Caenorhabditis elegans: one gene and its partners. The protein of the gene in region 4 purifies or fractionates together with the protein of the main gene of each other region. This does not show direct contact. Each region holds a gene or a part of one and is shown on either strand. Other genes may lie near its edges.

Region 1 (5,778 bases), on a different chromosome or scaffold from region 4:
ATCACCATTTTGACATTTCCAATCAAAACAACAAAAACATTTGAAAAGAAATGGGGTAAACTTGAGTGTGCTGATGTTGTACTTGTCAAACATGAAGCCTCCTGAGCACACAATATTGTAAATTAAAGTGCCACGTCATCATCTTCAACAGCAGCAGGAGAGCTTCCGTCTGCTCCTTCGTAGTTTTACGACCATTTTACTAGGGGCCAAACGTGCGCACACACATCTGCACAACTTGTAACATATGGGAGAAACAGAGAACTGGTAATAAAATTCGAATGAAGGCGTTGCGTGCTTCTTCTTCTGATGAAGGCCTCCACGTTTTAATTTCTTGAGAATATTTAAAATTTTCGACGAAGAAAAATAATTGGTTATCGTTCGAGGGATTCTTAAGAAAGTGAAAGTTTAAGCTCCTGACTCATTCGGGTCATACTTCCGAGTAGTTCTGAGTCAGAGGTAGGTTGAAATACATATTTACGAGCTTTTACTAACAAAATTTCCTCATAGACTTTTCTGGAAGCAGAGTCAAAAAAGGCAGGGATTTTAAAAATATTTCAGACAATTTTGGAAAACTGCGAAACAAATATATTTCAAAAATATTTCAATTTTCAAATATTTTAAAAATATATTTCAAATATATTTCAACATATTGAAACAGTTTTCTTAAAATGGCAAAGGTCTGATTTGATAGTCCAAAAGTAAGTTCGAACCTAATTTTGTTAAATTTTTAAACTAAACATATTGAAGTTATGCCCATCTTGAGGTTCATAGATGTAGATCAAACACAAACAGCCGAGCCTCTATCTCTCTTATTCTCCGTGAGCAACTTTCCGTTTTAAGTGCACGCGATTACCTATGTAGGCGCATGTGAAGCCTTATTGTACTACAGTGTGAGCCGCCCCGACAAACACTCGACTCAACAGCTTTTTCCTTCAAATTGTCAAAACAAAACAATACGAGAAAGAAGGCGAGACGTGAAACTTGGGAAAGTTATGTTGTTAGTTGCTGTAGCTTGGGTAAAGTAGTGATTGAGTACTGTATGATTACTGTAGTTTTGGAAAATGGGGGAATTTTGTAGGACATTGCGGAAACATGGAACTAGGTCCTAAATCCGGGCTTTCTACCGGAAATTTTGAGTTTGAAATTTCATAAACTATATTTTCTATTTCACCTGGAAAACTGGGCCCTGTAACGACAATTATGTCTGAGATCGTGGCGAGACCCACTTGGAAAAACATCATGTGCCTTTGAACTGGCAATTCCAGAACTCCGGACAAGCCAATCAAAAGACAAAATAGCTTGGAAAACTGTTAACTTTATCATCAAGTTGATCTTTATTCCATATTATTAAATACACGTTTCATAATATAAAGAAAATTTCAATTATTATATTTCCATTTAGAGCTTCTTGAATGGCTCGTTCTTGTCCAAATGGTTGTAGAAGCAATCACGGATCTCGTTGAAGTTCTCGGTACAGAAAGCATAGTCCAAATAGTTGGATGGAGCTCCCTTATGAGCGGTACAGTACTTGAGGCATTCTCCAGAGACACCGGCCTTCTTGCAGCAGTCCTCGTGGTTGTGACGGAGGGAAGCACAATCCCACATTTCTCCGACAGTTGGTCCACGCTCTCCGCAAGTCGACATGAAGTTCAGAATCTGAAATAAGAACGTGTAATGGTTATTTCTAGTAAGCTGACTAAATACATCAGAATTGACGCGCAACTAGCTCTCAGGAGACAACTTACGTTAGCTTGAGAAAGAGCATTGAAGTCACAGAATCGATCGACGCACTCCTTATCGGCATCCTTCAACGTGGCACAGCATAGCTTCAGCTTCTCATTTGGAGTAGCAGCAAGAGCAAGAAGTGGGAGAGCCAGGAGAATTGCGAAGCGGTTCATTCTAGAATTAATTACTATGAATATAGATATGTTAACTTTGAAAAATAAAAGAAAACTGCAACAGGTGGAAGATCGAAGAAATGAAGAATACACAGCCTATCGGTGTCAAGGCCCGGACTATTTAAAGGGTCACCCGGAAGACTCCACCTCTGACATATTGAGGTCAGGCTGTGATAATAAAAGAGATAAGATATCACTCCCTATCATAACAATCCTATTTCCTAGAACACCAGTCACCATTGTACTTTTATCGGATTTTTTGAGGCCGGTCAATGTTGCGAAAGATGAATTGCATGTAATAATGTATAGACTCTGTTATAAGAAGAAACATATAGAAAATATATATTTATTTTCTAGAAGAGATAGTTGGTGATAAAGTGAGAAAGAGGACACACACAGCCGTTTAATGGATTATTGCAGGTCAGGTCAGAAAGAGAAAAGTGGTTGGTACGAGAATTAGTTGTCATTGAAAAAGAGGTGATTAGTCATTTTTGAATCCATTTGCAATCAGAAGAGATAATGAAATGGCGACACCGAAGCAGATTCCAACAACGGCGAACATCCATGAGATTTGGATAAGTTGAAGACGCTCCGGTTTTTTGGAATTTTTTTCGGATTTTTCGATCTGTAAGTTGTGTCTTTTGTGGAACATTTTTTTGTGTTACAAATGTTGAATTGAAAAATTTGTGACGTTAAAGTTAGTCTTAATTTTTGTAGAATTTTTTGCTTGAAAATTTTAATAAAACATGTTCTTTTTACCTTAAAAATTCTAGTTTTTTTTCTCAAATTTGATGCAAAAAATTGCAATTCAGGTGCTTTGAACATTCAACAAAATTCTGAAAATTAAGAAAAAAATTCTCAAAAAATATTCAAACTTCTTGTGCGCGGGAATTCAAGTTTAAAACATTTTTAAACTCATTTTTCTCACTGTTTACCGAAACTATTAGTTTTACAAATGAGATATTATGTTTTGGATCACTAACTTTTTTAGAAACTTTTCCCCCTTTTCCACACTTCTTTAATACTAAATTATCAATTTTTGTTGCCAATAATTGAAATAAAAATAAATTAATCATTTAATCTCCAGTGATTTGGCCTATATTGCCCGTAGGAGTAAACTACATACGGACTGCTGGTTCATGTGATTCGCAACATGATATGGTATGATCTTCGTAGAAATGTTCTTATTGCATAGGATATTCCAACTTTAGAACTTTAAATGCAAATTGAAAAATCTTACCATTTCAACTTCCCTATACCCATTTCTCTGCTCGCTTTCCAAATACAAAACTACGAATCCTGTGGCGATACACAAAATGGTCGGCACACTGGTCAGCACAATTTCCATTGTTGGCTCTGACCATGTCTTTCGATAATTGGCGGCAGCCACGTAGATTGCGGCCACTTAATTTGTATAAAAAGTTTGAATTCTAGTCATGGAAACTTACCAGCAAAAGTGTAGGAGAGAAGGCCAACAATTCGATGAGCCCAATTAAAAATTGAACGTTGTGAGTTGGAAGGTGGGCATCTGGAATAAATAAAAAGTATAAAATTTTGCTATTTTTTTACAAAAATAAATCTACCTCAACAAACTATTCAACGGCTGGGAGAATGCCAGAATAGTAGAAATCGTTCCAAAATCCGTGTGCCATTGTGTCCAGTACCATGCTTCAGATCCAGTACCTTTCCAGGTCCAATTTGTTGAAATTAAAATGCACAAAATCGAGGTTACAATACAACAAACACCAATAAAAGTTGAGGCTCGATGAATTTGAAACCATACGAACATTCCGTAAATTGTATGATTTTTGAACACTTGCCGTCCATATCTTGCAAATAAAAATCCCGTTGGAACAAAGAAAAGCCATCCGAGAATCATTAGAATTGCATGTAATTTTACAAGTAATCGTTTGAATTCTTTACTCAGACCTTCAATTTTCGGATTGCAAATTTCATGGAAATTGAAGAATTCGGACTTTTCGTTGGACCATTTTAAGCTTGAAGATTCACTCTGAAAAATTAAAACTATTACAGGATATATTTCTGGCACCTACCATCAATAGAACATCCCCCGGATAAAAATCAATCTCACACGACGTTAAATTTTCAGATTTCAAAGTTTCTAGTTTGTAGGTTTTGACATCAATATTTGAGCTTCCAATGGGAAATCCGCAAACAAATTCAAGAAGGTTCACCTGCAAAAAAAACGAAATCAATAGAAGAGGCATCTCATATCTCAGTTGTCTTGAACTGATTCGTTAAATATTTTCTGTAGGTTTGTAGTTGAACATTTATCGATATCTCCAAAATAAACCAAAATAATGAGGAATCAAAGTTGATAAATTATCTCACCCCATTGTATATCTTCACTGCTGACCTTTTTTCCTCTGTTTTCCATTTCAAACTCATGAATCCATCGTTTTTATTGCAAGTAACTGTGATATTCACACGACTTGGTGAAAAACAAAATGAATTCGCCGGGCATTTTGCAGTAGAAAATACAAAACCACTGGCAAGTAGAAAAAGAGTAGAGTAGTGATACATTTTGCACTACCTTTGTGTTTTCTCCTTTTTGTATAAATAGGCATTTGAAATGTCATCATCGAACTGGTATTTCAAGTGACCAGCGGACGCAAAAGGGAGAAGAGAGCAACTGGAATGTGGTGGATTAGGAAGAGACGCAGAGTTTGTGACACTGATCTTATCTCACTGATCTTGTACATTTTTTGGGGGGACTTATTGGAGGTATTACGAAAATCAGTTTTTGGTAAAAATCAAAATAGGCGGATCGACGTGTTTTTTAAACATTAATAAAATGATGTCATGTTCTTGGTAACCAATGGTTACCACAGCGATGAAAATTAATAATAACTTTTTAACATAAATAAACTTTGACCACGAGTTTGCAATGTCTGGTTATTTTTAAGTTTTTCTAGAGACTTCAGTTTTCATATATATTTTGTTAATTTTTTGAAATAATTTATGAAAATTTAGAATGTTAAAAAAAAATTTGACTGAAGATATTCATACTAATTACCAAAAAAAAAACTTACCGCATGTTTTCTATTAGTACCGCACCCAATTGCTCCACATTTAAAGGTATCTCAGTTGATTTTAAAGATACCAATAAACAATTAACTACAAAACTATAGAAAAAGAATTGACAAATATTTCTGTAGTTGACATTTTTTAATAAAAACTAAAGAGAGCCAAGATATGCGCAACCAAAGTTGAGTTTAAAAAAACGCAAGCACTTAGATGTTCAATATGTTTATTCATACAAAGTTTGTTTTTTTACAATGCAAAGTAATTATCAGAAACTACCCGTATTCAATAAAATCAATAAATTAGATGAGATTCCAAAATTCCATTAATAATTATACATTTTTATATCCATTGACGACAAGAAGTGACAACGCAACAGCAATGCAGAAGAATACTCCAATCGCCCAAAACACTGCAGGTCCTTTCAAGATGTGAGGCTGAAAATGTTCTTGTTTTTAATAATTGACACAAATTGCTTAAGGAGTTTCAGGACGTATTCAACAAAGGAATAAGCACTACAGTACCGTGAGCTCTCTGACTGGCTTCGAGTTTTCGTCAAAGTCGGTATCCGTTACGAGTGGGGTTACCATCGAGTCCTCCGCCTACAGTTTGTTTTGTTTTCAATTTTTTTTGGGGAAAAAATCACCGGAAACCCAAGTTTTTTGAACATATAAACCAAAAAGTTAGTGTTTTTTAACAGTTAGAAATTGAAAAAAATGCCATGTGAATTATGTTAGTGCTAAACAGAATAAATAAATATACCGATTCGTCAACATCTTCTCTTTCTCTTCGGTTTCTCAATTGCTTCATTCGAAGATCCTAAATTCGCTGATAA
Region 2 (5,675 bases), on a different chromosome or scaffold from region 4:
TTCTTTTTCTCTTCCTCTGGAACAACTATATTTCCATTTTTCTTGTCTTCCACCTCTTCTTGTCTTTTTTCAACGGTATCTCCATTTTTCGAGTCCACATCAAACTCGTCGGCGTCAAAGAACTCATCACAATCACTTGTCTGAATGAGAAATATGCAAATTTGCAAGAATTGTAAATTTTAGAAATTGTCTGGCGTATTTTTTGCGATAGATTCATAAATTTTTGATCCGAAATTGATATAAAAAATGTATTTAGAAAATAATTTCTTTAAACTTTAAATTTTGCAGTAAGTTCTGAAAAATGCTCAATAACAGTGCCAAGCTTTCGTTACACTGATCGGGGAGCAAAATGACTTTGAAGCAAGTATAGAGCATTTTTAGAACATTCTAAAACTTATCTGAGAGTTATTTTTTTACTGAAAAATTGATTTAACATAATCTTATAGATAAGAATTAGGATTTTAAAACTTTTTTGGATTTTCTTTTCTCGAAATTAAATTTACATATTAACAAAAAACTCACCACATCAATATCAGGTCTTGCAATAATCGTAGAAGTTGTCATTGTTGAATTATCGTCAGACATGTATTCTTGTTCAACAATAGATTCACGACGAAGAACAGAAGAAGAAACACTTCTAGTTGCACATAAAGGTTCCCGAAATGGTGGTGGAGTGGATGAAGAAGAAGATGGAATGTTTGGTATTACCACCTGAAAATTATTTGATTTAATTCTCAAACTATCAGCAAATTGTTACTTTAGAAGTCTTGACGAGATCCACGATATGATTAATATTAACAATCAATGCTAAATGTGTTGCTTTTACTGATAGAATCGTGGCTTGTGGGACAATACAACTGGCTCCACCTTGTTCCAGAAGTCTTTCGATTGATGTCATCTGATCCTTGCACATAGTTCGGTATGCTTCGAGTTCGGAGAGTTTCGTGGCAAAAAGCTTCGTTGATTCATTATCATCAGATTTTTGATTATTAGTAGCAAGAACTGAGGAAACCGATGGATTACGGGAATGACTTTTAGTGCTAGTCGAGCTATAATCCGAATCGTTTTGTACCTGAAAATTATTGATTTTCCCATTGAAGTTTTAACTTGATTTCTCTGATTCTAAAAGTAGAATTTCGAAGTGAACGATTTTTTATATTTTATAGCCTCGTACTATTCCCGAACTTTCAATTGACTTTTGTGTGCCACCGTCCGTACTATATATTTACACGGGATGACAAAATCAGGTAAAGATCAACAATGGTGTTTTTGATGTAAAAAGGAACATAAGAGAGGTGTTTGAACTATGATCGGAGCATATTTAAACGAAGAATATACAACTTTTTATCTCGTAATTACTCCGAGAGAATCGCTGGGGAAGTAATTTTTTGAAAAAATTATGTTTTAAAAATACCAAATTCAGATTCAGAAAACACTCACTGTTTCCCGGACAACTGATCGCATCCATAGAAGTTTTGACTGTGAATTCTCTGCTTTCAAATACCAGACAACGTTTTCGCCCATAGATATTGAGAATTCGTTTTCATCAAATTCGTGGGCCTAAATTTTTAAATATACAAGAACTTTCTGAGAAATCAATAAAAGCTCACAGCTATTATTGCACTTTTGAGAAATATGCTTCCTCTGCATCCGTGGGATTTTTCGGCTTTTGACAGATAATAAACAAGATTTCCCTCTGTGATTTCAAAGTATCGATCTTGCCATCCATTCACGTAGTTTGTCCATTTTTTCATCACCCCATTCGTGGGAAGGACACTGGAATGAGATAAATTATATTAGAATTTATCATTGAAACAATTTCTGTAATTTAAAATATCTACAAAACTCACACTTCGCTCTCCATCGGCTTCGTTCGCGAATCAGCAGGTGATAAATGATAAGACAGAGGCTCTCTTTCCGAGAGACTTTCCCCGTTTCGATACAGTTTTGCTCTCACTTTGTTCTGCAAACAAAGCTCACGGTTTGGTAGGCAAACAGTTAAATGGTAGTCGATGGCAGAAAAGAAAGAGTATAGACAACCTTACATTTAGTCGATTCTAAACATAGGGCGTCGAAGGTGGCGAATATGGGAGAACCGGTTTCCTTGTACTGCAAATAGTTTTGTGAAGTAGTGTCTGAAACGAAAAAAGAAATTTGCGGAGCCAGGTCATCAAGCATGAAATAAAGTTCGACGCGTAACGAGGCACAATAGTTTAATGGGAATATGCAGAGCGTTTGTGCTTGTTGCATGGAGACACGAAAAGCAGACATAAGTCATAGAACTTGAGACAAAGTGTAATAAACTATTTATGTCACACGCGTTTTTTCAGATATCAAATGCAGCGATTCACTTCTCAATGTGTTTTGACGTTACAGGTGACGTTAAATTCCGATTTTTGTTCAATAATCCCGATGAAATTTCATATGAAGAAAACCAGTTTGACAGAACATAATTCTCGCAAAAGGTTCAATTGGTGTCCAAAAAAATTGGTCGAAAACAGTGGTCAGTAAAGGCGCTCCATTGCAATTCTGGCACAAAGCCAAGAATGCTGCGAGGTCGGGTCTCGCCACGTGCTGAAGTACGGTTACACTCGTTTCATTTGTGTCGGAGTTGATTGAATGGGCGCCGGCGGGTTATTCTTTTCACTTGCGTTCGTCGCTGTCGCCTGTGCTGTTGACACCTGTTCCAAGTTGGATTGTCCGAAAATGAGCAACACTGAGAGAACCTTCATCGCCATCAAGCCTGATGGAGTCCACCGGTTAGTTATCTTTGAAGAAACTTATTCTAGCATCCTCAATGGATTTTAGGATTTTCAAAATCCTAATTTTTTAAATTTCAGTGGTCTCGTCGGAAAGATCATCGCTCGTTTTGAAGAGCGCGGATACAAGCTTGTTGCTCTCAAGCAGATGACCGCCTCCAAGGCCCATCTTGAGGTACGTTTTCACGAAATTACAAAATTTTAGGCCCAACCAGTTAAATTATTATTTTTAGGTTCACTACCAAGACCTCAAGGACAAACCATTCTTCCCATCCCTCATCGAGTACATGAGCTCTGGACCAGTCGTCGCCATGGTCTGGCAAGGACTTGACGTCGTCAAGCAAGGACGTTCCATGCTCGGAGCTACCAACCCACTCGCTTCCGCCCCAGGAACCATCCGCGGAGACTTCTGCATCCAAACCGGACGCAATATCTGCCACGGATCCGATGCCGTTGACTCTGCCAACCGCGAGATTGCTCACTGGTTCAAGCAGGAGGAGATCAACGACTACGCCAGCCCATTCATCAACTCATGGGTCTACGAATAAACTGATTGCTTATGTCTCCCGGTGTTTTCACCGTTTTCGTATCTCTGCTGAATGTTGATAAAGTATTGCTTCCCACCTAAAACATCGTTTTTGTTGACATCTATTCCTGCGCATTCTCTAATGCGTTTTCATGGCAACCAATCCTACACGACTCAGCTGTCATCAAATCTTTTATTCAACCCGAAAACGGAAGGGGATTAAACATATAATATATTCAGATGACTGCAATAAGTTATGAAAACACGAATTAGGATAATAATTTCAGCTTTTAAGCTCTGAATTCCGCCACTTGCACGAGTTTGTTGCTCAGATTTGTGTTATAGAAGTCGAACTCGGGATTGTCCAAATGGTTTTCGAAATCGGAAAGCTCTCGGTACAACTTCTTCTGAATAACAGCTTGAAGGCCACGCAAGAAGTTGGAACCTTGGAAAATCGTTCTGAAATGAATATACTAAATGAATATATAACATCAAATGTTTTTTCCTACTTCGTTTCTTTCCAACTATCTCCATCTTTTTCATATGCCACGAGGCGGTCTTGTTCACAATCTGACACCAGTCTTTCGTTCATCACTTGTACGAGAATCGCTGCCGAAGAGGTAACAGAAGATATTCTGTCGGCGAGTCGAGTGGCATAAACGTTGAGAGAAGTGTCCGATGGAGTTGCATTTGAGAAATAGACGCCGACGAGGGAGGCACCAAACTTTCCATGGACGAGGGCTGTGGCAAGTTCCAGAGGAGGTGCGAGTGGAGTGGATTCATGGCAAAGAGGAACACAACTTGTTACCTGGAAAATAAATTATCAGATAGGATGGCAAATTCATTAAATTAAAACATTTCCCTGACTCAGAAATCTAGTATCGCATAACTCTTCTCAAAACGTAGAAAAGTATTTTTTATGCTCTCTTCAGCAACTGTTCATCATTTTGAGGTGGAGAGCGTAATTATTTTTTCTTGCTTTCAGCTTAGCAATTCTAATATATCGATAATTGGTATTAAAGACGACTGTCTTTGGAGAAAATAAGCGTACCGACATGACGATCAACTAATTTAAAATGTTCGCATTTAATGAATTAAACAAATAAAATTGTACCGTGACTTTGTCTCCTTTCTTGTTTCCAATCAGCAGTCCAAAAACACCCTTTGCCGGGTATTTCAGGCAGTGAAGGATGATTGTCGAGTAGGGGAGAGCCTGTGTTTCGACTTGATGCTTCATCTGCAAATTACTTGAATTTTAGCGAATTTTGTTTATTATTTGAAATCATCTAACAAATTTTAGGTATTCAGGATTGTATTGAACAATAAAAGAAGTTGAATACAGCGGTTTAATGAAAATAAATTAAGAAAAACAGTTATAACGTTGTTCTCTCTCGAAAATCGTCTTTAAAATTGAGTTATATTACATGAATAGATTGTTTTAGGAATAAATAAAATTAAGAAACATTTTAAACTGGAATCAAACCATTAAAACAATAAAAGAATCTCGAACACTCAACAAATATAAACTAAAAATCGTTAATTCCAAAGAGAGCATTTGTATTCTCAATGGAGCGCACTTGCGCAGAAAATTTATCAAATAAAAAAAAGGAGGGAAACAAGAAATTTCAAATGATTTTGATGTTTTTAAAGTTTAATTCGGATAATAATCATAAAATTAGGGAACAGAAAATCAAAAATTACATAAAATCTATGAAGTTCCTGATGAGAGCTCTTGAGCTCAATAATTCGATTGAAAATTCGTTAAGATTGGTGGAGCACAGCGCCTCAAATCGGGAGAGTTAAGAAAATTGAGAATTGGAAAGTCCAACGGAGCGCGCTTGCACACTTTTACGGTATTAAATGAGTTTCAGACGAAATTTCGCGATTATTCGAGTTTTCAAGATGAAATTTGGAAAAAATAATTAAATATTGGGATTATTATTGCTTTAAAAAAGTTTTAAAAAACATTTTATTGAACAAATTCAAGATTTGGCTGCTTTTTCATTGATTTTCGAACCGACTAGAACAAGTTAACTCTATGACAAAATTTCTACGCGAAACAAATTTTTTCAAGCATTAATATGTTTGATTCCAATTTTTAAACGTCAGCTTGATAGAAATAACACGGTTTCAAGTCTTGAAATTGTTCAAAAATGCACAAATCAACGGAAACTGTTTAGTTGGCAGCTGATCTTCACTAAACCAACACTAAATGTTCAGATCAAATCACAACTTGTTTGATCATTTGAAAAAACATTTTTGAATCATTGTTTCCCACAAAAAGCAGATGATAAGTAGTATAGCATGATGAGAATCCATATGATTCTTCATATGCGCATAGCTATAAATACTGTAACTTCGACAACTCCTATCTCCTCAGAGAGGCAAGA
Region 3 (7,339 bases), on a different chromosome or scaffold from region 4:
AGATGAAAGCAGAATATAGTCATGAAGCAACCGGATACCGGCAGTGTTGCAAAGCCGTCCTTGGTGAACGAATTAGCAAAGGAAACAGTGTTCTGATTATTTCAAAAGCTACTCAGAACTCACAATTTGTACTCAGATATAGAGAAGGTTTATTATTTGTGATTTTTGAATCTAACCACGACAAGTTTTAGATGGTACAGCTCCCACTCAAAGACCACCCCCTGTCAGGGTTGCTGCTCCAAGAAGTTATTCTTTACTGTGGTCCGGTTGGACAAGATGCTCTGAAAATTGTGGTTCTTGTGGTACTCAGTATAGAGAAAGATGTACAAGTACAACGAATTGCTTGTAAGCTTTAAAAAGTCCTAATTAATTTAACAGTTTTTTTTTCCAGAAGATCAGCTAAACAAACAAGAGTCTGTAATACTCAGCCATGTGCACAAGGAACCACCAGGGGAAAACGCAGTGTTCTTCAAACTCAGAGTAAGAACTAGGAACTGAAAAATTTAAATTGATAACTTCCGAAATTCAGTCTCACATCGTGTAAAACGTCTCAATGGGTGGTGTTGTGCCAGATTTGTTCTTTCAAGAGGTGTCTGTGTTCCAGTGAGAACAGGGGTGACGCATCCGAACTGAATAAGAAAAATAGAAGGAGAAGCGGAATCTAGTTTGAATCATAACATCTATGACCTTCAGATAACTGTCTAAGGATCATCCTTAAAGGATGTGCAAATAAAGTGAATTTGAATGCTTCGCTCTTCAGAGAATTTTCGAATTGAAACCAAAATACAAAGTTCGCAAAGGTCGAATAAAAAATGTTCAAAATTATCTTTGAGAATATGGAACACAGTTTTATAGACGCAACAGTTAATATTTCCGAAAAAGACACCGAATTTGTAAAATTCAAAAAAATTTCAAAATTCTTATGATATGTTTCGAAAAAGAAATATGGAAATTCGGGACTAAAAGAAATGCAAAGATAATTGGAAACAAAAAAGATGTACATGTTCACAGAAAAATCATCACGTTTTTTTTTTCAAATAAGAAATGTATCTTAAACCAAATGTTTTAATTCACACAACAGAGCCCGACGGGTGGAACATACTTTTAACCACAAACAGTTTGTGGCTAAAACTGTGCTGATTGGAAAAACTATTAATGAATCACTTTCAAATTTGCCCGCACTAATATAATTGTCAATTGCAAAAATGCTCGTTTTACATCATCGTGATTTTGTTTTAAAAAACTTAACGTCGTACTTTTTTAAAGAATGGTAATATTCAACCTTCAACTTTTTGCATTTTAATAATTCTTTCCATTTTTCCCGTACTTGAAACATTGAGAACACAATATGATTCAATATCGAAAAGCTTCTAAAGGTCACAGCATCTTCTTGAAACTCAGAATTTCCCCCAAAAAACCAGTTGCACGTGCGAAGTAGTATAAATATCCGCGTGTGTGGTCGGAAACCATAGCTTCTTCCACTTCCATTCCATATTTGCGCAATATGAGTACTTTGTCGGTTGCAGTTTTCTTGGTAAGCAATGAATCATCGAATATCTCTTTTACTCATTCGGATTTTCAGATTTCATTTCATTTTGCCTTTGCTCAGTACCCATTTGGTAGAGGAGGGTGTGGAGGATGCCCGACTCCAATGTGCCAACCAAGAATGCCATGTGCTGCACCGATGCCAATGCCGATGCCAATGCCAGTCTGTCCTCCACCTCCACCATGCCCGGCTCAGTAAGTTTCAGCAATAAACCTAGAATATTCACATGCTTGTTCACAGATTCTGTCCACCACCACCAATTTGTCCTCCGCCTCCACCACCGCCAATGCCATGCCCTCCACCACCTCCACCAATGCCGAGACCATCTTGCCCGTGTATGATGCAACGACCATCGTTCTACCCATCATATGTTCCCCAGTACTATCAGCCAATGATGCCTCAGCCAATGCCAACAGCTGGAGGATGTGGAGGTGGTGCAGTTGTACCATCAGTCAGAATTCCAGCTCAGGTTGGTAGATTTTTGAAAGAACCTTTAAGAAAATATCATTTCAGAACGATTGTTGCTGTGGCTGCTCATCGCCATGCAAGTACAAAAGTGTGAGACGCGCCGCATTTGCAGCCAAAACAATCGACCCTTCGTGTAACAGTTCCGAACTGAAAAACATTATCCTTGATGTGAGTACACTCGTTTTGCACGTCAAGCCTACTCTCTTTTCAGAATATTAGCGAAGATGCAAGTGAATCAAAGAGGAACATTCAGAAAATTGCCGAAGAAACACTAGGCCATGAGGTGAACGTTATTTGTGGTACAGGAGAATTCAGTTACATAGCTCATACCGATACATTCTGCCAAGCATTTAAGGAAGATGTCACCTGTTATGCATTCAAACCATTGCAATAAACTTATTTGGTGTTTTTTTTTTGTCTGTATTTCCTGCTTTTTCTGTCCACTACTGGCTTCAATAAATTAATTTTTTGAAAGTTTTTAATTCAATTTGATTTCGTAAAAGCAAAATCCAACAAGATATAAAAAGTTTGAAACTAACACTTATACTCAACGACAGTAGAGAAAGTGTTAATTCAATAGTTCATCGCTGTTGGTGTTTGTATTTTCAAAATGTTTAACCTTAAAAAATGTTTCTTGTGTATTACAACCCTTTATTATAGAAATAAATTATTTTTATATTTTTTTGACCATTTCACTCGCCGTACCTGTTTATCAATTACCGATAATATTTAACAATACAACTCACCTTTAAGTTACAACTTTTGACCTGCTCAGCAGGCTGTGGTGATCTGAAATCTACAGGTTAAAAACCTACATCCGATTGTGAAACGTTTTCTCTACTCGAAATGGTGGTAAGAGTTTTCTAAGATACAAATTGCTAGAGACCGTTTTTCTTCTGATATAAAAAGCGTTTTAGTAGCAATTTATCTTCATGGAATTGAGATTTCTATATTATAAACATAAGCAACTCTAAAAAACACTAGTTCTCCACTCTTTAAAATCGTCATACTCCTACTTGCTTTTTATTCATGAAACAGTATCATTGCCAATGCAAACAAACAACTATAGAATAATGCCATCCAAACATTCAAGAAAAAATCATCACGTGACTGTTTCGCAATTCAATTTGCATCCAATGTAGTTTTCTCTCTCTTGTCAAAACTTATCTGATATACTCTATTGTTTTATCCAATTGACGTCACTATCATCATCTTATCTTTTCAATTAGATTTGTGAGACCTTATATAGCGGTTTCAGTGGTGCACATCTGTCATTGTCACTGTCTGTGTGCAGTCATTTTTTTTGGTTATCGTTTTGTTTTTATTGGTGGTCGTTTAGTCGTGTATCGACCTTGGCCTATGCGTGTACGACTCCTTTTTGTATTTGTCACTAGCACCCTCTCCAACCTGTATGCTATTTTCTGTTTCAACGCCGCATGCGTGTACAGTTTCGGAGACATAACAGACTGCTGTCTACTCAACTCCATTTTTCAAAACTTGTATTGCTTTGCAGGCTAAATCATGAAATCCTTCGTTTCTGTTCCTCAAAACTCGGATTTCCCAATTCAAAACTTACCGTATGGTGTTTTCTCAACAAAGGCTGACGTAAGTGTATAAATAATTATTTCTAAAGCAAAATTAAACTAAATATTTTCAGTCTTCCCGCCACATTGGAGTTGCAATTGGAGATCAAATCCTCAACTTGGCAGAAATTGCCAATCTTTTTGACGGACCTCAATTGAAGGCACATCAGGATGTTTTCAAGCAGAGCACATTGAACGCGTTCATGGCACTGCCACGTCCAGCCTGGTTGGAAGCTCGTGCAAGAATCCAACAACTGCTCTCAGAGGATTGTGCTGTTCTTAGGGATAACGCTCATTTGAGGTGAATAAGTTGGCAAAACAAATTTGAAAAAGTTAAAAAGTAGTACAAAGTGTGTCTGATAATCTACTAACCAAATCTAAACAACTATTTCACAAGTTTTAATTTTTATCGTTAGTTTATAATTGCAAAGTTGAATCAATACTGTGCAGCAAGTTGGCAAGTTGAAATGTATATAGAAGTATGTGAAAATGTTCGGTCAATCTGAAAAAAATTATTTTATTGAGAACGCCTGGAAACCCGTCAAAGTTTTTGAAATACTTCATTTGACTTTAAATATATCGTTAAACTTTGTTGGCGACTTGTAGGCATTATTTTTAAAAAAATCTATTTCAAAATCGAGAAAAACCTACATTTTTATATTAATTTTTGATTTATAAATTGAAATCTCATACTGTAATTAGAAGCTTTGTACGTTTTGCGCACAACTTACATATAACTCTGTTTAAAACAACCAAGAAACTTTGTAATAATATTCTTATGTTTTTATTTACAGAAGCCGGGCTCTTGTCGCTCAATCCGATGCTACAATGCACCTTCCAGCTCAAATCGGAGATTACACCGATTTCTACTCCTCCATCCATCACGCCACCAACGTCGGAATCATGTTCCGTGGAAAGGAAAATGCTCTGATGCCAAACTGGAAGTGGCTTCCGGTCGGATACCACGGAAGAGCTTCATCAATCGTTGTATCTGGAACAGACTTGAAAAGACCAGTTGGACAAACTAAGGCCCCAGATGGTAAGATTTAGATTTGCACCAATAATGCAAATGTGTCCGCTTTCAGCTGAGGTTCCATCGTTTGGTCCATCAAAGCTTATGGACTTTGAGCTCGAGATGGCGTTCTTTGTGGGAGGTCCAGAAAATGAATTGGGAACTCGTGTTCCAATCGAGAAGGCTGAGGATCGTATCTTTGGAGTTGTGCTCATGAACGACTGGAGTGGTGAGTAACGATGTTAATTAAATATCAAACAAAAACATTTAAACTCGACATTTTGGTGACAAGAAAATTCAACAGTAGTTATTTTCAAGTTTGCTCCATACTCATCCGAAAAAAAACTTTTCCAGCTCGCGATATCCAAGCTTGGGAATACGTTCCACTCGGCCCATTCCTTGCTAAATCCTTTGCCACAACTGTTTCTCCATGGGTCGTCTCAATTGAAGCTCTTCGTCCATACTTTGTTGAGAATCCAGTACAAGATCCAGTTCCACCAGCATATCTCCATCACGATGACCCATTTACCCTTGACATCAATTTGGCCGTCAGTATCCGTCCAGAAGGAGATGCTGTGGACCATATTGTCTGTAAAACTAACTTCAAGGTATGTTCAAGTTTAGTAGAAACGATATTATCTACACTGTTCACTGTAAATTGGATCATAAACGCTCGTTAAGGTTTTCTCAACTACAATACTGTAATTTCTAGCATTTGTATTGGACTCTAAAACAACAACTTGCTCACCACACCGTCAATGGATGCAACCTCCGCGCTGGAGATCTTTTGGGATCAGGAACTGTATCTGGACCAGAAGAAGGTGCATATGGATCCATGCTCGAGCTTTCGTGGCGCGGAGCCAAAGAAGTTCCAGTTGGCTCAGAAATCCGAAAGTTCTTAAAGGACGGAGATGAGGTCAACCTTTCTGGAGTTTGTGAAAAGAATGGAGTCAGAATTGGTTTCGGAGAGTGCCGCGGAAAAGTCCTGCCAGCCGATATCTAAAATCATCGTAATTAAATCGTTTTGCTTTTTGTTTCATTCTCTCGTTTGTTAGTAGTATCTCGTCGAATAAAGTTCTGAAGCCCACGAAAAGTGATGAAAGTGGAAGTGTGCAGTGTCGAAAATGATAGGGGTTTGTCACGATTTTTTGGTTTCTATGTTATCAGTTCAAAGCATGAGCGAATAAATAGGAGAGCTGGTTGCTTGGAAATCATTCTCAGTTCAATCATGATCAAGACAATCTTGCTTTTGGCCTTTGTGGCCTCGACCTCAGCTTTTGTGATTCCTTTCAAAGTTCATGCTGCAGTTACCAACATTACCAAAGGTGAGTATGAGAATTTACAGATTTGTTTCAGATAAAGTGAAATTTGGTGTTTGTAAATGGAAGCCTTTACAAAATTTAAAATGAACATTTAAGCATTATTTTTGATTTTTTTTTTGAATTATTTTCCGAAGCGTATAAAAATTTCGATCACGTTTGATTGAACATGAACATTTAATGGTACATTAACGTTATATTTTATTCAAAATAGGGATAGACACGTAACTGGGAGTAATAATAGTGGAGAGCGGTAAGTTGTTTTAAGAGCACGTATATATATATCCCGAAGCCACATAAAATGTACAGTGAATGAACAAACATTATTTCCTTTACGACATTGAGTAGAATGTATTTAACTTAGAATAAAGCTTATAACTTACAAACACAATGTTGCGGTTGATTTCCAATTATATATTGGTTGTTTTGAGAATTATGAACTGAAACTTGTGTGGTATGATTTTTCCATCATTTCCAACTATTTGAAAACATTTTATATCAACTTTTAGAAAAAAACTTTTTTTTTTTGATTTTTTTGGAATTTTTAAAAAGGGGTATTTTGGCACTTTCAAAATGTCGTAACTTGATCAAACCTGCTCTGAAGCAGCTAAATTTTTGGAGTGATCATCTGTAACTATTCTCTATCGAATGTATATAGTGGCGTAACGAAGTCCGATAACGAGTTCAGAGCCTTCCCTTGTTAGGAATAATGGTTTTCTAAATCTATTACATTCCACTAGTGAATTGTTTTGTACTGAAAATTACTTTTGGTATATAATACACAAGTTCCTTAGATTTTCAAAACTGAAGTTTAATTCCAGGAGGACAAACTCTGGAGCAAACCTCAACCTTCTTCGTTGCTAACTTGACCATGGGAACACCAGGACAACTTTTCACTGTTGTCATTGACACTTCGACCGCTGACATTGTTATTCCAGATATGAGTTGCAGTGAGTTTCAACCAATCGCTTTCTTGATTGCAATTTGATAGTTTTACGACTTTTAAATGTATAAAACATCTCGAACATAATCACGAAATGATGACAGTTTTTGTCAGCTTTTGCTGACAATTTGCCCTATTATATCGGCACTAAAATCGTTTTTTATGTTGATTATCGGTCAAAGACTATCACTTAGTGCACATAACATTCCTAATTTTGAAAACTCCACACTACTGATAAGAGTGAAAAAGATACAAACTGGAAAATGTTTCAGAGACCGCAAATAATTGCTACAACAAGAGAAGATTCAACCAAGCAAAGTCGTCGTCTTACTATGCATATGGAAATAAGTACACGTACAAGAATAATCTTGGAACTTTCCAAGGATTTGATGCAAAAGACACTGTTGTGGTAATACTTTCAATTTGTTTTTTAAGTCCTAACAATTTTTTTCCAGATCGGAGACCGCA
Region 4 (6,018 bases):
GATGTGAATGCTATGGATTGCGACGAGAACACCCCATTGATGCTGGCTGTTCTTGCAAGAAGACGACGGCTTGTGGCTTATCTGATGAAAGCTGGAGCCGATCCAACCATCTACAATAAATCTGAACGAAGTGCTCTTCATCAAGCGGCTGCAAATCGAGATTTTGGAATGATGGTCTACATGTTGAATAGTACAAAATTGAAGGGAGATATCGAAGAACTTGATAGAAACGGAATGACAGCCCTGATGATTGTAGCACATAATGAGGGAAGAGATCAAGTTGCATCTGCAAAGTTACTCGTTGAAAAAGGAGCAAAAGTTGATTATGATGGAGCTGCGAGAAAAGATTCAGAAAAGTATAAAGGCAGAACGGCACTTCACTATGCTGCCCAAGTGAGTAATATGCCAATTGTGAAGTATTTGGTTGGAGAGAAAGGATCCAATAAGGATAAGCAAGATGAAGATGGAAAGACGCCGATTATGTTAGCTGCACAGGAAGGACGTATTGAAGTTGTGATGTATTTGATTCAGCAAGGGGCTAGTGTTGAAGCGGTTGATGCTACGGTGAGTATTGTTTTTGGTATTCTACCGAATTTAAAGGCGAAAAGGGAATATCTATCAGAAAACTAGCTTGACGAACTCCTCGTCAAGCTCCACGTCGGATAGTTTTTTTCTGAGGTTCAATTTTGAATTTTTTCGCTACAGTAACCCTTGAAACTTTCGTGGTGAAACCCATGTTTTAAACGCTTTTTAGAGGTAGAATTTGACAGAGAACTCGAATTTAATACTTATTTCGTGGTTGAAAAATGCTTGCGCCTATAAATTACGCGTTTCGAAGTATATAAAAAATCAATTTAATCTAAAAATTTTCCAGGATCATACGGCTCGTCAACTCGCTCAAGCAAATAACCATCACAATATTGTTGATATTTTTGATAGATGTCGTCCAGAACGAGAATATTCAATGGATCTTCACATCCAACATACCCATCAACCACAACCTTCAAGAAAAGTAACTCGAGCTCCGAAGAAACAGACAAGTCGAAGCAAAAAAGAGTCAGCTTCCAATTCTCGAGACTCAACTCATCTGACACCTCCACCATCGGATGGATCAACGTCAACACCGTCACCACAGCATTTTATGAATACCACTCATACTACACCGACGAGTTTGAACTATTTGAGCCCAGAATATCAAACTGAAGCTGGAAGCTCAGAAGCGGTTAGTTTTAAGCTTCAACTGAACAGACGGGAAACAATGTAATTTTGCAATTAAAAATACGGTACCCGGTCTCGACACGACAAAGTTTTGTTAAATAGAACGTGCGCCTTTTAAGAATACTGTAGTTCGAATCTTGTGTTTTTGCGGATTTTTAAGTCTTTCCAATCTAAATAAGTGTTATGGTTTAAAAGTCTGGACAACAATAAAATCACATAAATGTAACAAGGAAATTCCGCAGCAACAAATGTTTGAAATTACAGTAATCTTTAAAGGCGCACACCTTTTCGCATTCAATAGAAATTTGTCGTGCCAAGACCGTTTTACGCGTATGTGTAATATACAAAGTTCAAATATAACGTACATAAATTAAAATAACGTTACTTTCAGTTCCAACCACAATGTGGAGCATTTGGAAATGGCGAAATGTGGTATACAAGAGCTTCAACATCGTACACCCAAATGCAGAATGAACCAATGACGCGATACTCCGAACCAGCTCATTATTTTTGAATCTTCTGAACAATCGTCATTTATTATTTAAATTCCTTATTTTCTAGAGCTATACGGGTTTCCATCTAAATTTTGCATAAGACTTGATGTTCTTTTTTTTGTTGCATTTCTTGATTGTATATGGGCTTACGGGTTGAAATGTTTTGTTGAATGTTACATTAATAAAAATTAGTGAATAATTTTCCGAGTATTGGCTCCACGAACGACTGAAACGATGTATGGGAAGCAGAGATTCATTGGAAGCTTTAAGGAAGACAATAAATTATATCAAACTGGAATTTTTGATGATTGCAAAATGAGAAAAAATTGAATTAGCTTATTGTTTTCCATTTCCATTTACTGGTGGGTTGATAGCAGCTCTCTTGTTGAGATATGCCTTGATGTTTGGACGCTCAGCGAATCTCTCGTGGAACTTCTTGAGTGCTGGAACACCATCAAGAGCATTTGGTGTGAGAATCAAATGAATGTCGAGCTCCTCGAACAGCACATAATCCGCATAGCTTTCCTTGTCTCCAATAACGTAGTGCTCTCCGTTCTTGTAGGTATGGAAAAGCTTCTCCAGACGAGCGAGCTCTCCTGGAAGAACGTCCTTGATGTACGGAGCCTTGCCGTCTTCGTAGTTTCTGTAGATCATAGTGGTGTACTTGGTGTGCAAATCACGAAGTCCTTCGTAGAACATGTCGATGAAAGTTGTCTCTGTCTCGTTGGAGCCATTGAGCCCTGAAAATTGTTTTATAAGATACCGGAAGAAAACATTTAAATGGTTACCATTAAGACGAGCGAGATGACGGATGATAGCTCCAGATTGAACAATCTCCTCGTCTCCGGATAGAAGACATGGAACCTGGCCGAAGATCTGAAAAATAATCATTTAATAAAAATAAATAAAACTTTGAAAACAATAACTCACCATCTTTGGTTTAATATCAGCCCATTGTTCATAGGTTACACGATGATCCTCGTAGGCAACTTGCTTGTCCGCGAGAAGAAGACGGATTGGCTCAGCGAGTCCGTGGATGTCGAAGTACGTGAGCTTGAGGGTCATATTGAACGAAGTTGAGTGAATACTGACTGAAAACAAACACTTGAAATGTGGAAACTGGTTTTTTTTGTTTTCAAGAGAGAATTAAGAAAAGAAATCGAATGTGAGAAGTGGACAAATAGAACGGCTTTTATAGTTCGTGGAGGTACTAGGGGTGCTAGACGAAACAAGCAAGAGAGAGCACTGGAATGAAAGAGAAAGACAACGTGGCCAGCACGAAAATGATGACAAAAAGTTGTTAAGATGATTACAATTGTTCTGGATGACGTTGAAATGCCAGAGAAGTTTCTAGAAAATTAACAATAGTTTAGTCTTGGCGCCGGTAGCAGATCAGAAAAAACACTGAAACGAGATTACTGTCAACAAAACGTGATGGCTAATTGAATACCGAAAGTTTTTTACCTATTGTTCCAGATATATATTGGCCTGAACGAAAAAACGGTTTTCAACTTATACACAAGAAATAAATTTAAGAAATATTCATATAAAAAATAAATAAGAAAAGAAAATATATAAAAATAAAAATAAGAAATACGGGGGTCGAAAATCATAAGGGACATAAGTCGGGGGAAATTATGCTAAAAGGAGCATAGAGAAAGTGTGCAATACCCGCTCTTGACAAATAAAATTATATTACAAAGTGAAGGGATGAGAGAAAAGGGACGATAAGGTTTTACGGGGGAAATTTGGGATACGAATACGGGGGAATTATGGGCTACATTGCAACGACGAATCATACGTGCGAATGTGAACTGGACGACATTGCCCGATTGACGTAGACTTGGACAAGGTTCAGCTTTCCAGACGACAGATTTTGAAGATGTGGCTCCATTGTCTTCATTCCCAACTTGTTCACCATCGCGACCAGACAGTAGACAGCAGTTTTCCGAACTGCAGACGATGGGGAATCGTAAGACTGCAAAGTAAAAATTTCATTAATGAATTGCGATGTTTGATAAATAGTTACCTTGATCACACATGGCGCCAAATCATCAACCACTGGGCTCAATTCGTCGGCTTGGAGACCTTCAAACAATCTGGTCATCATTTTCAGAACCAAGCTTGCTTTGGGTTCTTGAGCTTTCTCCTGCAAATACTGACAAACAGATTACCTAAATGTAAAAATTCTTGAACTTACCTCATTCAAAATGAGCTGCGAGATGTTAACCACCTTAGCCAGTGGAAGGTGGGTTGCCAGCGTTTTCAAGCAGTCATCAGCGGTCACGTTCATCGTTCCGTCTTGTGAGTTGACAGCAGCATCCAAAACTTTACAGATGGCCATTTCCGTAGAGTCGAACAAGCGCGATGCTTGCGAAGTGCACATCTTTGTCAAAACGCGCAGAGCTACTTTCTTGTTGGCGTCTGATTCGCTTTTGGAGAGCACATCGAAGACAGCGATCAACAGCTTGGCGAAGTTTTGCTCCCAAAGAGTGAATGAGCCTTCACACAACATTGTCTGGATCGACAAAAGTCCTTCGTATTGCTGAGCTCCCATGTCACCAGAGATCTGGGCCAGCTTCGACGCCACGTACTTGCTCTGCTCCGACGTATCGTCAATAAGATGCGTTGTTGAGTTGAGCTGAAAAATAATTTGAAGAAAGAATAGGAGGATGAAACTGACGGTCATTATTGAGCCAAAATGTAGAAATGATTTTTAACGTCTACGAAAAATATACTTTGCTGAACTACGCGCCTTACGTGGCCACTGAAACGAAGAAAGAGGGGGGGGGGGGGGGGGGTTCGAAATCCTCTGACCACTTGTCATTTAAAACCATTTTCTTTTAAATATAATGCTGTTAAATACCTTTAATCGGTCGAATGACTCATTGAAGCTGAGTTCCTCGTCTCTGTGCTGTGAATTCATTTCCGAAGACAGAGGACGAAGTGGTTCCGCATCGACTCGTTTGAAACCCGACGAAATGGCTCTTGTGCTAGGCGATTTTACTGGAGTCATATCAAGATTCCTCGACACGACGAAATCTTCTATCTGCGCAGCTGTAGTAGAAATCGTGGCTCGCACACAGGCCTCTTCAGAAACAGCATCTTGTTGTGGAACGTGTTGATCATGTCCGTGAGACTGAAGAACTTTGTATGCCCAATCGCGATAGTCGGGGTTGAAGTCGTTGAAAAGTGCAGAGAAGTCGGCGTTGTTCAATGCGAAGAGTGAGCAGAGTACTTTCTCGCCATGCTGAAAAATGCATATTGCTAAAATAAAGAGAGAGCTATAATTACCGGGGTGATCAACTGTTCATTCCTCTGATCTGCCATCCACGAAAACATCTTGAGAATGGTGGCCTTCATCTCTTTAGTGTTGAACGACGATCCTCGCTCCATATACTTCCCAAGAAGTTCATTGAGATATTCAAGAAGGACCACGCGACTCTTCGGGGACATTAGATGAATTGGATCGCACACCAGCTCGCATGTTGATTTCAATTGCAGGGTTGGATCAAACGATGACAGAATACAGCTGATGGTTGTGGAAATTTGCTTCTTACTGTTCAACGTCATCTCTGCTCCTTTCTTTGCAAACAGCTTTCCAAGGCCAAGCTTGAGCCAATCACTGAGACGGGGATGATGGGTTTTGACAAACGAACTGATTGATTCCAGCACAATCTGAAATAAAATGTTGCAATAAAAATTATTAAATTAAAATGTTCTACCTGGTTCGTGGATTCTCCGAGCAATCTGTTAAGAACCGCGCCCAGGCTTTTGATTTCGGCGTTGCTGAGATTTGGCTCCGAAACAATGCCTGCAAGCATTTTAATTCCTTCTCGCTTCTCATTTGCAGAGGTCGACGAACAAGCACGAATCACTTCTTCCACTCTGGAAGTATCAAGTGCACTTTTTTGTGGTGTTGCCTTCTGTGGGGTTGGACGTTTTGGCAAGAGGAACTCATCATCATCGTTGCGTGATGGTTGCCTCAAGCTCTCCTTTGCCGTGTTCATTGCCTTCTGCAGTTTCGTAGCTTCCTCGGCTGACAGAGAAGAAACGAACGAGTTAGAACCAAGATTCGACTTGACTCGTTGCATTTCGGCTGGAAATGCCTCTGTGGCGGATGGACGGCGTGGCGGTGATCCATTTCGAGAACCAGGCTGAGACGTTGGGACACTTCCACGAGCACGAAGATTGGAAGAGGTACGAGAACCAAGCGCTCCAACTGTTGGTCTAGCAAACTTCGAACCTCCTGGAGAGGTGTCGATTTTTGAAAGTGTCCTAGTGGTCATCGGGCGAATGTTTGGAG

The links.
Region 1: the proteins of gst-1 (region 4) and dbd-2 fractionate together in Caenorhabditis elegans (co-fractionation; one large-scale study listed by BioGRID). This does not show direct contact.
Region 2: the proteins of gst-1 (region 4) and ndk-1 fractionate together in Caenorhabditis elegans (co-fractionation; one large-scale study listed by BioGRID). This does not show direct contact.
Region 3: the proteins of gst-1 (region 4) and fah-1 fractionate together in Caenorhabditis elegans (co-fractionation; one large-scale study listed by BioGRID). This does not show direct contact.

Annotation. Positions count from the first base shown.
Region 1 is NC_003280.10:4,559,071-4,564,848, reverse strand, and holds dbd-2 (DB domain-containing protein), read right to left. Parts: upstream 1,900-5,778; 5' UTR 1,899-1,899; coding exon 1,746-1,898; intron 1,657-1,745; coding exon 1,399-1,656; 3' UTR 1,389-1,398; downstream 1-1,388. Other genes in the region: M03A1.8 (ascorbate ferrireductase (transmembrane)), read right to left, coding at 2,380-2,523, 3,139-3,302, 3,347-3,426, 3,482-3,909, 3,953-4,093, 4,251-4,442; M03A1.3 (Cytochrome b561 domain-containing protein), read right to left, coding at 5,276-5,380.
Region 2 is NC_003279.8:10,550,826-10,556,500, reverse strand, and holds ndk-1 (Nucleoside diphosphate kinase), read left to right. Parts: upstream 1-2,587; 5' UTR 2,588-2,706; coding exon 2,707-2,759; intron 2,760-2,840; coding exon 2,841-2,934; intron 2,935-2,992; coding exon 2,993-3,307; 3' UTR 3,308-3,382; downstream 3,383-5,675. Other genes in the region: cert-1 (Ceramide transfer protein), read right to left, coding at 1-140, 523-711, 758-1,072, 1,441-1,560, 1,611-1,776, 1,851-1,864; F25H2.4 (MPN domain-containing protein), read right to left, coding at 3,576-3,744, 3,795-4,093, 4,400-4,522.
Region 3 is NC_003284.9:6,445,105-6,452,443, reverse strand, and holds fah-1 (Fumarylacetoacetase), read left to right. Parts: upstream 1-3,527; 5' UTR 3,528-3,535; coding exon 3,536-3,619; intron 3,620-3,671; coding exon 3,672-3,898; intron 3,899-4,391; coding exon 4,392-4,636; intron 4,637-4,682; coding exon 4,683-4,838; intron 4,839-4,963; coding exon 4,964-5,217; intron 5,218-5,321; coding exon 5,322-5,612; 3' UTR 5,613-5,698; downstream 5,699-7,339. Other genes in the region: Zinc metalloproteinase nas-33, read left to right, coding at 3-147, 192-345, 392-480, 530-633; K10C2.6 (Serpentine Receptor, class BC (Class B-like)), read right to left, coding at 662-1,003; grl-6 (Ground-like domain-containing protein), read left to right, coding at 1,505-1,534, 1,583-1,740, 1,787-2,015, 2,060-2,182, 2,226-2,408; asp-14 (Peptidase A1 domain-containing protein), read left to right, coding at 5,838-5,934, 6,750-6,878, 7,144-7,280, 7,327-7,339. UniProt on the Caenorhabditis elegans protein: Fumarylacetoacetase involved in the tyrosine degradation pathway.
Region 4 is NC_003281.10:9,056,116-9,062,133, reverse strand, and holds gst-1 (Glutathione S-transferase P), read right to left. Parts: upstream 2,804-6,018; 5' UTR 2,778-2,803; coding exon 2,643-2,777; intron 2,589-2,642; coding exon 2,501-2,588; intron 2,453-2,500; coding exon 2,049-2,452; 3' UTR 1,953-2,048; downstream 1-1,952. Other genes in the region: lin-12 (lin-12/Notch intracellular domain), read left to right, coding at 1-564, 875-1,222, 1,610-1,732; cls-2 (TOG domain-containing protein), read right to left, coding at 3,508-3,690, 3,742-3,870, 3,913-4,353, 4,579-4,962, 5,007-5,390, 5,438-6,018. UniProt on the Caenorhabditis elegans protein: Conjugation of reduced glutathione to a wide number of exogenous and endogenous hydrophobic electrophiles. Prevents dopaminergic CEP neuron degeneration in response to Mn(2+).